Oryctolagus cuniculus: one gene and its partners. The protein of the gene in region 1 purifies or fractionates together with the protein of each later gene. This does not show direct contact. Links are inferred from orthologs where the notes say so. Each region holds a gene or a part of one and is shown in the gene's direction. Other genes may lie near its edges. The genes, in order: POLR2H, POLR1D and POLR3K.

Evidence for each region.
Region 2: the proteins of POLR2H (region 1) and POLR1D purify together in Homo sapiens (affinity purification with mass spectrometry; 4 studies listed by BioGRID and IntAct, with this or other methods). This does not show direct contact. The link is inferred for Oryctolagus cuniculus from reciprocal best matches to the Homo sapiens genes POLR2H and POLR1D.
Region 3: the proteins of POLR2H (region 1) and POLR3K purify together in Homo sapiens (affinity purification with mass spectrometry; 3 studies listed by BioGRID and IntAct, with this or other methods). This does not show direct contact. The link is inferred for Oryctolagus cuniculus from reciprocal best matches to the Homo sapiens genes POLR2H and POLR3K.

What each region holds. Positions count from the first base shown.
Region 1 is NC_091435.1:93,932,437-93,936,134, forward strand, and holds the start of POLR2H (DNA-directed RNA polymerases I, II, and III subunit RPABC3), read left to right. Parts: upstream 1-795; 5' UTR 796-1,306; coding exon 1,307-1,379; intron 1,380-3,426; coding exon 3,427-3,510; intron 3,511-3,593; coding exon 3,594-3,687; intron 3,688-3,698. UniProt on the Homo sapiens protein: DNA-dependent RNA polymerase catalyzes the transcription of DNA into RNA using the four ribonucleoside triphosphates as substrates.
Region 2 is NC_091440.1:86,895,584-86,899,331, reverse strand, and holds the start of POLR1D (protein POLR1D), read left to right. Parts: upstream 1-1,035; 5' UTR 1,036-1,188; coding exon 1,189-1,214; intron 1,215-3,748.
Region 3 is NC_091450.1:34,577,147-34,579,962, forward strand, and holds the end of POLR3K (DNA-directed RNA polymerase III subunit RPC10), read left to right. Parts: intron 1-2,135; coding exon 2,136-2,263; downstream 2,264-2,816. UniProt on the Homo sapiens protein: Core component of RNA polymerase III (Pol III) which synthesizes small non-coding RNAs using the four ribonucleoside triphosphates as substrates. Can mediate Pol I proofreading of the nascent RNA transcript.

The sequences.
Region 1 (3,698 bases):
TGCTGAGGACTGGAGGCCCAGGCGGGCCTGGAAAGGCCCCTCTGCGGGGGATTCGGAGGGCCATTCTGGGCTCCTGCCCTTGCTCGGGGCTAGCCTCAGGAGGTGCCCCTGCAATACCGGACCCGCCGGATTTTGCGGGCAAGGGGACTGGGAAAGAAAGGCCCGAGGGAAGGGAGTTCTAGTGCCTGGAAGGCAGGCGTCGGGGGTGGGGTGGGGTGGGCAGAGGTCGCTTCTCCTGGCAGGGCCCAAGGAAAACCCCAGGAGCTGCTGACGTCTCGCCGCCTTGGGGAAACGGCCTGCTGGGGTTTGGCTTTCTCTATCAGGGTCCGGGGAAGGAGAGAACAGAGGGTGGGGTGAGCACGGGGTGCACGGGCAGCGTTCGAGATAGCGAGCGCAGACGCGGCGTGCAGGAGGGCGGCAGGAGGCCAAGGAAGGGAGGTTGTGGGAGAAGGGGGCCAGCACCCGGGAGGAAGAGACAGGAAAGTGATCCAAGAGGAGGGCAGTGCTGGGGGAACACGCGGCACACGCTGAGGGGGCACTGCTAACGGGTAGGGCAGTGTGAGGGGATTTGTGGCAGGCGGAAGGAGCGAGCAGGGCCCAGGGGAAGAGGGCAGTGGTGGGGGGAGGGTGCAGCGCCAGAGGAGGGCAGTGCCAGCTTTCCTTTCCCCCGGAGTGATATCCTGGACGGCCCCGGCTCAGGTGACGTCCAGCAGGGCCGAGCCAGCCCCCGCCGACCTGGGGGCCCTCGGTGCCAGTTGAGGGACTAGGCATTACGTCCTGCTGGGCTAGCGCTCTGGGGGCGGAGTTTTGTTGCACCCGTCCCCGGCGCGGACTATGCCCTCGGGGGACACGAGGACCGGCAGGGTAGGGCTAGGGCCCGGCTTCTCTGGGGCAAAGATCAAGGTCTCGGCCTGGGTTAAGTCTCCAAGCATTCCAGGCTTCAGGGCCCGGACTCTGGAGAGGGCGAAGCGGAGCCCCAGCGGAGCGCGATAACCCGAGCCACCTCCGCCAGAGGTGGTGCTTGGGGCGTTCCCGCCCTGGGCGGAGTCACCTGGCTCGGAGACACGCCCTCAATGCGTGTTCCCTCGCCAGCAATCTATCGGGGCGGAAGTTGAGAATCCCCGAGGTGGAGGCGGCGGAAGTGGCTGCCGTACTGCAAGCTGGTGCGCATGCGCTTTCCTGCTGCTCTGCCGCCAGCGTTCAGGCGCCTTTTGCTCTAGTGTCTTCTTTTTCCACGCGAGAGTGGGCTAACTCGTAGTTGTGGTCTCGCTCCTCGCGTTTCCGCTGCTCTCGTGGCCCCCTCACGATGGCGGGCATCCTGTTTGAGGACATTTTCGATGTGAAAGACATTGACCCGGAAGGCAAGAAGTTTGACCGAGGTAGGTAAGGTGTGGGGTTTGGCCGAAGAAACTAACTTCCTCGGGACACACCCCTGGGCTCCGGCTCACGTGGCCTGCCCTTGCGGCAGGTCCTGATGTAGGGGCCTCTCCCAGGAGACCTTTTATGGATGAGAAAGCCGAGACGCCGAGCTCTCCCTGGCTGCACACACGCGGTGCCCAGTGCCATGGTGGTGGCAGGCTCCTGGACGTCTCTGCAGTCGCCTCTCACTTACACACATTTTGCCTTATTTAGTGCTCTCGAGAGTTCCCAGGAGGTAGGTGGTGCCTTCCTCTCCTCCTGGAGGGTAAGTTTGCCACCCAAGGCTGCACCGTGGTCAGTCTGACTTATGAGCCCGAATTCTTGTGTGGAGTCGAGTCTCCAGCTGATGTCAGACCCTCTGAGTTAACTGCGCGGTGCAGGCCAGGCGCCCGAGGTGTTTTTCAAGTCTCAGTTATTCAGTGAGATAATCCCCTTAGCATGGGAGAGGACACCTTTGGTTGAAGAAGTCCCTTGCCCAGACCCAGGTTCTAAATCACCCAGGTAGTGCCTAGAACTCTGTCTTTTGCTGCTAGAATATTTTGATTTGGGGGCAGGATTCCATTCATTTGCCATGCTTTTTTAAAAAATTATTATTATTTTTTAAAGATTAATTTTATTTATTTGAAAGAGAGAGAGGTAGAGACAGAGAAAGGTCTTCCATCCTTTGGTTCACTCCCCAGATGGCCACAACGGCTGGAGCTGTGCTGATCTGAAGCCAGGAGCCAGGAGCTTCTTCCAGGTCTCCCACACGGTGCAGGGGCCCAAGGACTTGGGCTATCCTCTACTGCTTTCCCAGGCCACAGCAGAGAGTTGGGTTGGAAGTGGAGCAGCCAGGATATGAACTGGCACCCATATGGGATGCCGGCGCCTTAGGTCAGGGCGTCAACCCACTGCGCCATAGTGCCAGCCCCAATTATTAATTTTTAAAGACTTATTTATTTATATGAAAGGCAGAATTACAGAGAGAGAGAGGGGTCTTTAATCCGTTGGTTCACTGCCCAGATGGCCACAATGGCCGGAGCTGCACTGATCTGAAGCCAGGCTCCTGGAGCTTCTTCCAGGTCTCCCACGTGGGTGCAGGGGCCCAAGGACCTGGGCCATCCTCTTCTGCTTTCCCGGGTGCATTAGCAGGGATTGGAAGTGGAGCAGCTGGGACTTGAACCGGCACCCATATGGGATGCCAGCACTGCAGGTGGGGCTTTGCCCACTAATCCACAATCGCTGGCCCCTGCCATGGTTTTTGTCCTCCATGCATATCTGGTTCTGAGCGAGCCTGCATTTCTCTCTCTCTCTCTCTCTTTTTTTTAAGGTTTGTTTTATTTATTTGAAAGACAGAGATAGGGAGAGACAGTGAAAGAGGTCTTCCATCCACTGCTTCACTCCCCAGGTGGCCTCAGTGCCTGGGGCTGGGTGAAGCCAAAGTGATCTGGGAGCTGGATCAGAAGCAAAGCAGCCTCTTCCAACTGGTGCTCTGATACAGAATGCCCACCTCGTACACAGCAGCTCTGCCCACTGCACTGCAGTGCCTGCACTTTTTTTTTTTTTTTTTTTTTTTTAAGATTTACTTACTTGTTTGAAAGGCAGAGTTACAGAGAGGCAGAGGCAGAGAGAAAGAGAGGTCTTCCATCTGCTGATTCATTCCCCCAAATGGTTGCAATGGCATGGGCTGGGCTGATCCGAAGCCAGGAGCTTCTTCCAGGTCTCCCACATGAGTGCAGGAGCCCAAGGACTTGGACCATCTTCTGCCTTCCCAGGCCATAGCAGAGAGCTGGATCAGAAGTAGAGCAGCAGGGACTCGAACCAGCACTCATTTGGGATGCCAGTGCTGCAGGTGGCGGCTTTACCCAATATGCCCTGTGCCTGCACTTCTGTGAGAGCACATAAGAGGCCAGTGGATGTAGATCAGGTTACATTAAATAGTCGATTGCCTGTAATTCCCAAACTGGGATCTGTCAGATCTGCCTTTGCCCTGGTAATTACATCGTCCGTCTCTCTGCTTCTCCCCAGTGTCTCGACTGCACTGTGAGAGCGAATCTTTCAAGATGGACCTCATCTTAGATGTAAACATTCAGATTTACCCTGTGGACCTGGGTAAGTATTGAACCCAGAGAATCAACAGAGGCTTCTTGCCGTCTCAGCTATTCTTTACGCCCAGATATTGCTGCTGTTTTCAGGTGACAAGTTCCGGTTGGTCATAGCTAGTACCTTGTATGAAGACGGGACCCTGGATGATGGGGAATACAACCCTACAGATGACAGGCCTTCCCGGTAAGGAGTGG
Region 2 (3,748 bases), on another chromosome or scaffold:
ATTCCTAGGTTAGAGTGAACCTACTCCGTCCCTCGCCCCTCGCCCTCCCCCACCCGCCTGGGGCTGTCCCCGCCGCTCGCCTGATTCCTCTGTGGAAGGCGCTCGGCAAGTGTGTGAGCGAGCGCCGGGCAGCCGCGGGGACAGCGGGACAGCTGAGCAGGGGACGCACGGAGCGGGGTGGGGGGAGGTCGAGGGGAACAGGTGGCGCGGGAGAGCAGGCGTGTAGGTGTGCTGGGCGAGAGGACAGCCGGGGTAGAGGGCAGCGACCGGGGCTGGCCGGCGTTAGAGAGGTTGCGGGAGCCGGGGGTGAGCAGCGGGGAGCAGCACTGAACACTCCCAGAGAGGAAGGGGCCGGAGAGGGAACCCCGCCGAGGAAAGGCTGCCGAAGCGGGGTAGGGGACGCCTGGGAACAAAGATGAGAGGGAGGTTCCCCGGGGGTGGGGTGCAGAAGGGGTAAAGAAAAGGGTGGAAGGGAGGTGCATGGCCGGGGGAAGGAAAGGACGGGGTGGGTGAGTGTGCTCCCAAACTCCCACTTCTCCCCTAAGGAAAACGGTAAACGCTTGTCCTGTGTCCCGGGGGAGATGCTTAGCTGCAAGAACCCCACTGAGTACTGTCTTGAAGCACCACGTTCTGTTAACGAGACTCAGCCCCTCCTATTTAAGGACGGTATAGCCCAAGCCTGCGGTCCCACAAGAGGTTGGATTCCCGGGAGGCCACAGGGTTCCAGTCGAGTCTAGCAGGCCGGACTTGGGTCCCAAGAAGGGAGGTGATGTGGGGGCGGCAGGTAAGGCCCTGCCCCCTTCGCCACCAGTTGGGGAGACGGTACCAAAGGTGGAGCTCGGGCGCACGCACTGTGACCGGGGCCTCCGGGTGCGACGCCAGCGGGCCCTCCGCCGCCCTCCTCCCGGCTCGCCCCGCACGCCGCCAGGCTGGGGGCGCGCCAGGTGAGCGGCTCGGGCCCGGCGCCACCGCCCTCCTCGCGCCGGGGGCGGGGCCGGGGGCGGAGCCTCCACGTCCCGCCCAGCGCCCGGACCCTGCCGCGCCGCTGCGGCTCCTCCTCCCTCCTTCCGTCGCCGCCTTCTTCCGTCCGTCGTTCCTTCCTTCCTGCCTCAGCCGCTCAGCTCGCGGCATGGGGCAGAGCCTCCGATCGGCCAGCACCACCTGAGGATCCTGGAACCGGCACCCGCGATGGAGGACGACCAAGAGCTGGAGAGGTAACGGCCGAGAAGGCGGGCGGGGCGGGCGGAGTAGGCCGCGCCCAGGCAGGGGAGCGGGCGGTACCGGGCACGCGGCCCGGCCCGGGCCTAACCTCCGCGGCCCTGCAGAGCAGCAGGGGCCCGACCCGGGACGCTGAGAGAGGGAACAGGGCCCGACGGGGAGGAGAAGGGAGGAGTCGTGGATGTGTTTGAATAGAGGCGCTCCGAGGGACAGTAGTTCTCGAGGAGGGCGGACCAGTTGGCAGAGCAGAGTTGGGTCCCGAAACTGCCCAACCCCGTTAGAACAGCGGCGTATTCAGTCCGGCTTAAGCCCCCCCGTCACTACCGCTCTCCCTCCTCCTCCGTGCAGACTGTTAGCCGTGTAGCCCTGCCTCAAAGCGCTGAGTTCTGTTTCTCCCTCCCGCTGTACTGTTTCAGCTCTTACCGTTTCCTAGCTTCCTTACCTCTTGCAAGTGGAAGCCATAGTTGGGCCTGCACATTGATAATCTGTAGTCTCTGTTTATATGCTGGAGCAATCTTGTGTTTTTCTACACCTTCAACTCCCTTTTCCTCTTCCAGCAGGGCTCACCCTATGCTATATCCCTTTCTTGTGACTCTTCCAAAAGAAATGTCTTTGCAGACACTTAAGTGTATGTTTTTCTAAGAAGATGCTCCGTGTGGCCCACGTGGATAGTTAATGGAGCAGGGAGAAACTGGAGTCAGCAAATTAAATATTCATTGGTAGAAGTGGTGGAGGCAGAAAAGAGAGAGGCTGACAGTTCTGTGTGTAATTGCTGTGGATTAGAGTAATGATGTGTGGCAATTGTGATATAGTAAATGAAAAAAAAAGCTAGTTACAATATTCAGTATGATCTCACTTTTATAAAAAATATGTGTGTAGAAAAATGTCTGGATTGAAGACCTCAATGGCCGAAGGCGAGAGGAAGACAGCCCTGGAAATGGTCCAGGCAGCTGGAACAGATAGACACTGTGTGACATTTGTTTTGCACGAGGAGGACCATACCCTAGGAAATTCTCTGCGTTACATGATTATGAAGAACCCGGAAGTGGAATTTTGTGGTTACACTACGACCCATCCTTCAGAGAGCAAAATTAATTTGCGCATTCAGACTCGAGGTGCTCTTCCAGCTGTTGAGCCATTTCAGAGAGGGCTGAATGAGCTCATGAATGTCTGCCAACATGTGCTTGACAAGTTTGAGGCCAGCATAAAGCACTATAAGGATCAAAAAGCAAGCAGAAGTGAATCCACATTCTAGTCCCTTGTGCAGGATACAAGGAGGACTAATCTCTGGGATACTCTTCTTCATGATTGTGCAGAACCCAGAATTAGAAGTTTGTGATTACAACAACCTGCTCTATCTTTCCAAAAAAAAAAAAAAAAAATGGTTCTAGCTGTTGACCCATTCATCACAGCTGTTGGAATCCCCGCAAGAACCTGTGTATTCTCCTAATAAATTCCCTCTTTTATTGAAACTATTTTTGAGTGGTTTCTGTTCCTTGCAACATCCTCAAGGATGACTTTATTTGCTTGCAGTAGAGCCAACATTTAAAGTGATAAAACAGAGCATCAGGCACCCAAAATAGTGGTTTCATCATGGGAATCAAAAGGAGTATACATTCCTGACTAGGATTGGGGTGGTGAGGCAAAGAGGAGATGGAATAGACCATTACGCAGATAGACTGGTGGGTTTCAAAAAGAAAGAAGGTCAGGATGTGGACTTGGCTTCTTAGATATTTTACTGATGAGAAAGTTGTATCCTTTTCTCTTAGGGGATTGGGTAAGGTTAGGGAATAATTTGAAAGAATTTTGAGAATTCTGGTTTCACATGAGGGTCTCAGGAGTTATCCAGCTCCATCTTTGTACCATCTATAGAATAATTGTTTACTGCCTGAGGAGAAACCTGGAATGAGCAAATTACATTTTTAGTCTAAGTAGGTATCCAACTGTAGCCTAGGGTCATATAGAAGAAACACTATTTGAGAGAAAGGACACAGAGGGAAAATACCATGTGGAGAAAATGACTTGGAAAACTTGAAATATTAGTGAAATCACATCCAAGAGCCATTGTATCTGTCTACATCTTCAACATCTTTCATACCAGTCATACCAGAACTTCCTTCTTCAATTATCCTAAATACCTGTCAACCCTAGAGCCTGAGCACTCCCATATCCCAATGCACTGTGCTTTGGGGCCTTAGTTGATCCTATTTATTCGTGTGATCCTGGGACCTAGCACAACACTGGACAGCAGGTGGACACTTAGTAAATATGAGATGAATCCCTGTAGGTAGTTATGGCATGTTAGCTTTTCAGTAACTCTTAGTTGAGCTGCCCTAGAGCCTCTTTAAAGATATTTATTTATAGAGCTTCTGGTTTGTACCTTGGGGATAGGTATAATAGTGAGACACAATAAGTGTTGCATAAGAGAAACAATATTTTTAAAAAGTTGTAATTCTGGGGAAGAAAATACAATATCAAGATAGAAAGCATGAGAGAGAATTTTGCTTTAGGTATGGAAGTCAGGGAAGCT
Region 3 (2,816 bases), on another chromosome or scaffold:
GAGTGAAGCGCAGAAGGAAGGTCTCGGCCTTCTGCTTGTTAACTGAGATTTCACTGGTGTTGAGAATCAACGCAGACATTTTCATTTTTACACAGTTCTTAACATGCAAGGCAGAATCTAGGAAGCCTGAATTTTCGTTCTGTTTTCAAAAGTCACTCCAGTCATTTCCAGCTTCAAATTTGGAGGCAGCTCTTCCCATCAAGCACCAGCATCTTCAAGCGTTGATGTGACATAAATCCCGCCCTTTACAGGGTAACATCCTGTATGTGACAGACTCAAAAACGTGAACTAAACCACTAGGGAAAGTGGACCCCCACAGCCAGAGATTGACAGAGCACACGTGGTCTGACAGCAACGCCGGGTGGTTTTCTGTCAGGACAGATGAAATGCACCTTTGCCGTTTAGTATGTGTTGTAGGATATAAAAGCCACCCCCACCTGTGGAGTGTCAAGCTGACGGCCACGACAGCCGAAGCCTCCCATGATGGACTGTGTTGTCTGTCTGTCTGTCTGTATTATTATAATGCTACTATTTTCTGGTTGTATCAAAAAACAAACAACCAGCAAGTGATTTCACCTCTTAAAAATTATTTACACTTGGCCAGTGCCGCGGCTCACTAGGCTAATCCTCCACCTAGCGGCACCGGCACACCAGGTTCTAGTCCCGGTTGGGGCGCCGGATTCTGTCCCGGTTGCCCTTCTTCCAGGCCAGCTCTCTGCTGTGGCCCGGGAGTGCAGTGGAGGATGGCCCAGGTGCTTGGGCCCTGCACCCCATGGGAGACCAGGAGAAGCACCTGGCTCCTGCCTTCAGATAGGCGCGGTGCACCGCTGGCCGCGGCGGCCATGGGAGGGTGAACCAGTGGCAAAAGGAAGACCTTTCTCTCTGTCTCTCTCTCTCACTGTCCACTCTGCCTGTCAAAAAAAAAAAAAAAAAAAGTTTCTAGAGCTACTGAAAAACGTGCATTTAAACAGTAGTTGGTAAATTATTCCTGTGGATTGCACGAGAAGGGAGACAGGCGTCTGATATTAACCAGGGCGTCTGATATTAATCAGACTTGGCTTCTTTCTCTTCCTTCATCAGAGGTCACTCTGCCTTTCAAATAGATCCGTAAATCTTTTAGAAACTATGCATGGACTGGAAACTGTTAGTTTCATTTTCTATGAGCTCTTTGAAATTCTCTTACACAGGCTTTTCAGTACTTACTTCAAAGCTGTTTGAGCCTCTCCCCATTACTCAGTCTCCAGCAGTTTGTTACAGCAGCACCAACCGTGGAGATAGCCCCCTTCCAAGTTACTTCTCTAATCAGTCTCCAGCCAGATGGGAGAGACGCAGGGTCCCAGGACGGGAGGAGTGTTTCACAGGGCACAGGTTCACCTGTCCCTTCAGTGTTCGAGCTTGGTGGGAGTGGAGCCTCTGTTGGTAGTGTCCTTAGTGATCTTACGAAGTGTCCCTCACCAGCATCGTTTTTGTGAAGATTTATCTGTTTGGGGTCAGCGCTGTGGCCCAGCAGGTTAAGCTGCCCCTGCAGCACCAGCTTCCCAGATGGGCGCCGGTTCAAGTTCAGTTGCTTCACTTCGCTTCCAGCTCCCTGCAAATGACCTGAGAAAAGCTGCGGGTGATGGCACAGGTCCTTGGGCCCCTGCTCCCACTTGGGAGACCCAGATGAAGCTCCTGGCTTTGGCCTGGCCCAGCCCTGTCTGTTGTAGCCATTTGGGGATGAACCAACAGGTGGACGTCTGTCTCTCCTTTTCTCTCTAACTCTTTCAAATAAACAAATAACTCTTTTTTAAAGATAAGATTTATTTGGAAGGCAAGATGACAGGGTAGGAGAGAAGGAGACCCTCCAACTGCTGGTTAATTCCCCAGATGTCTGTGATGGCCAAGGCTGGCCAGGCTGAGGCCAGTGCCTGGGTCTCCTGCACAGGTGGCAGTGCCCAGGTACTTGGGCCGTCCTCTGCTGCTCTTGCCCTGCACTAGCAGGGAGCTGGATCCGGAGTGGAGCATCCGGGACTCTAACCAGCGCCCACATAGGATGCCAGTGTCGCAGGCGGTGGCCCCCCACTGTGCCGCCATGCTGGCCCCACCAGCGTCATTTTATGTAATGTGGTTCCCTGGTTGGTTTTTCTCCTTTGCAGAGCCGTGTCCCAAGTGCGAACATCCTCGTGCTTACTTCATGCAGCTTCAGACGCGCTCTGCAGACGAGCCCATGACCACCTTCTACAAGTGCTGCAGCCCCCAGTGCGGGCACCGCTGGAGGGACTAGGGCTGCGCTGGCCCAGCTGTGCCGGTCCCCAGGGTGGACTCCTGGCAAGGAATGTGAGCTGTGTGTCCTAGGGTCTTCGCTGGTGTGGCAGAGAGCGAGCCCTCCTGAGGGCAGGGCCAGGGTGCCAGGAACATCGTCCGTCGGTGGATGAAGTCATCGGGGGCCAGAGAGTCCTCGTGGGCGAAGAGGAGACCCTCACTGTGTGCTCTGCTCGGGGGAGGAGACCCTCGCTGTGCACTGCTCAGGGGAGGAGACCCTCGCTGTCTTCTCTCTGCTGGGGGGAGACCCTCGCTGTGCGCTCTGCTGGGGGGGGGACCCTCGCTGTGTGCTCTGCTGGGGGGAGACCCTCACTGTGCGCTCTGCTGGGGGGGAGGAGACCCTCCTGTGCGCTGCTGGGGGGGAGGAGACCCTCGCTGTCTTCTCTCTGCTGGGGGGAGACCCTCGCTCTGTTCTCTCTGCTGGGGGGTGATGAGACCCTCGCTCTGTTCTCTCTGCTGAGGGGAGGAGACCCTCGCTGTCTTCTCTCTGCTCCAGGAGGAGACCCTTGCTGCTC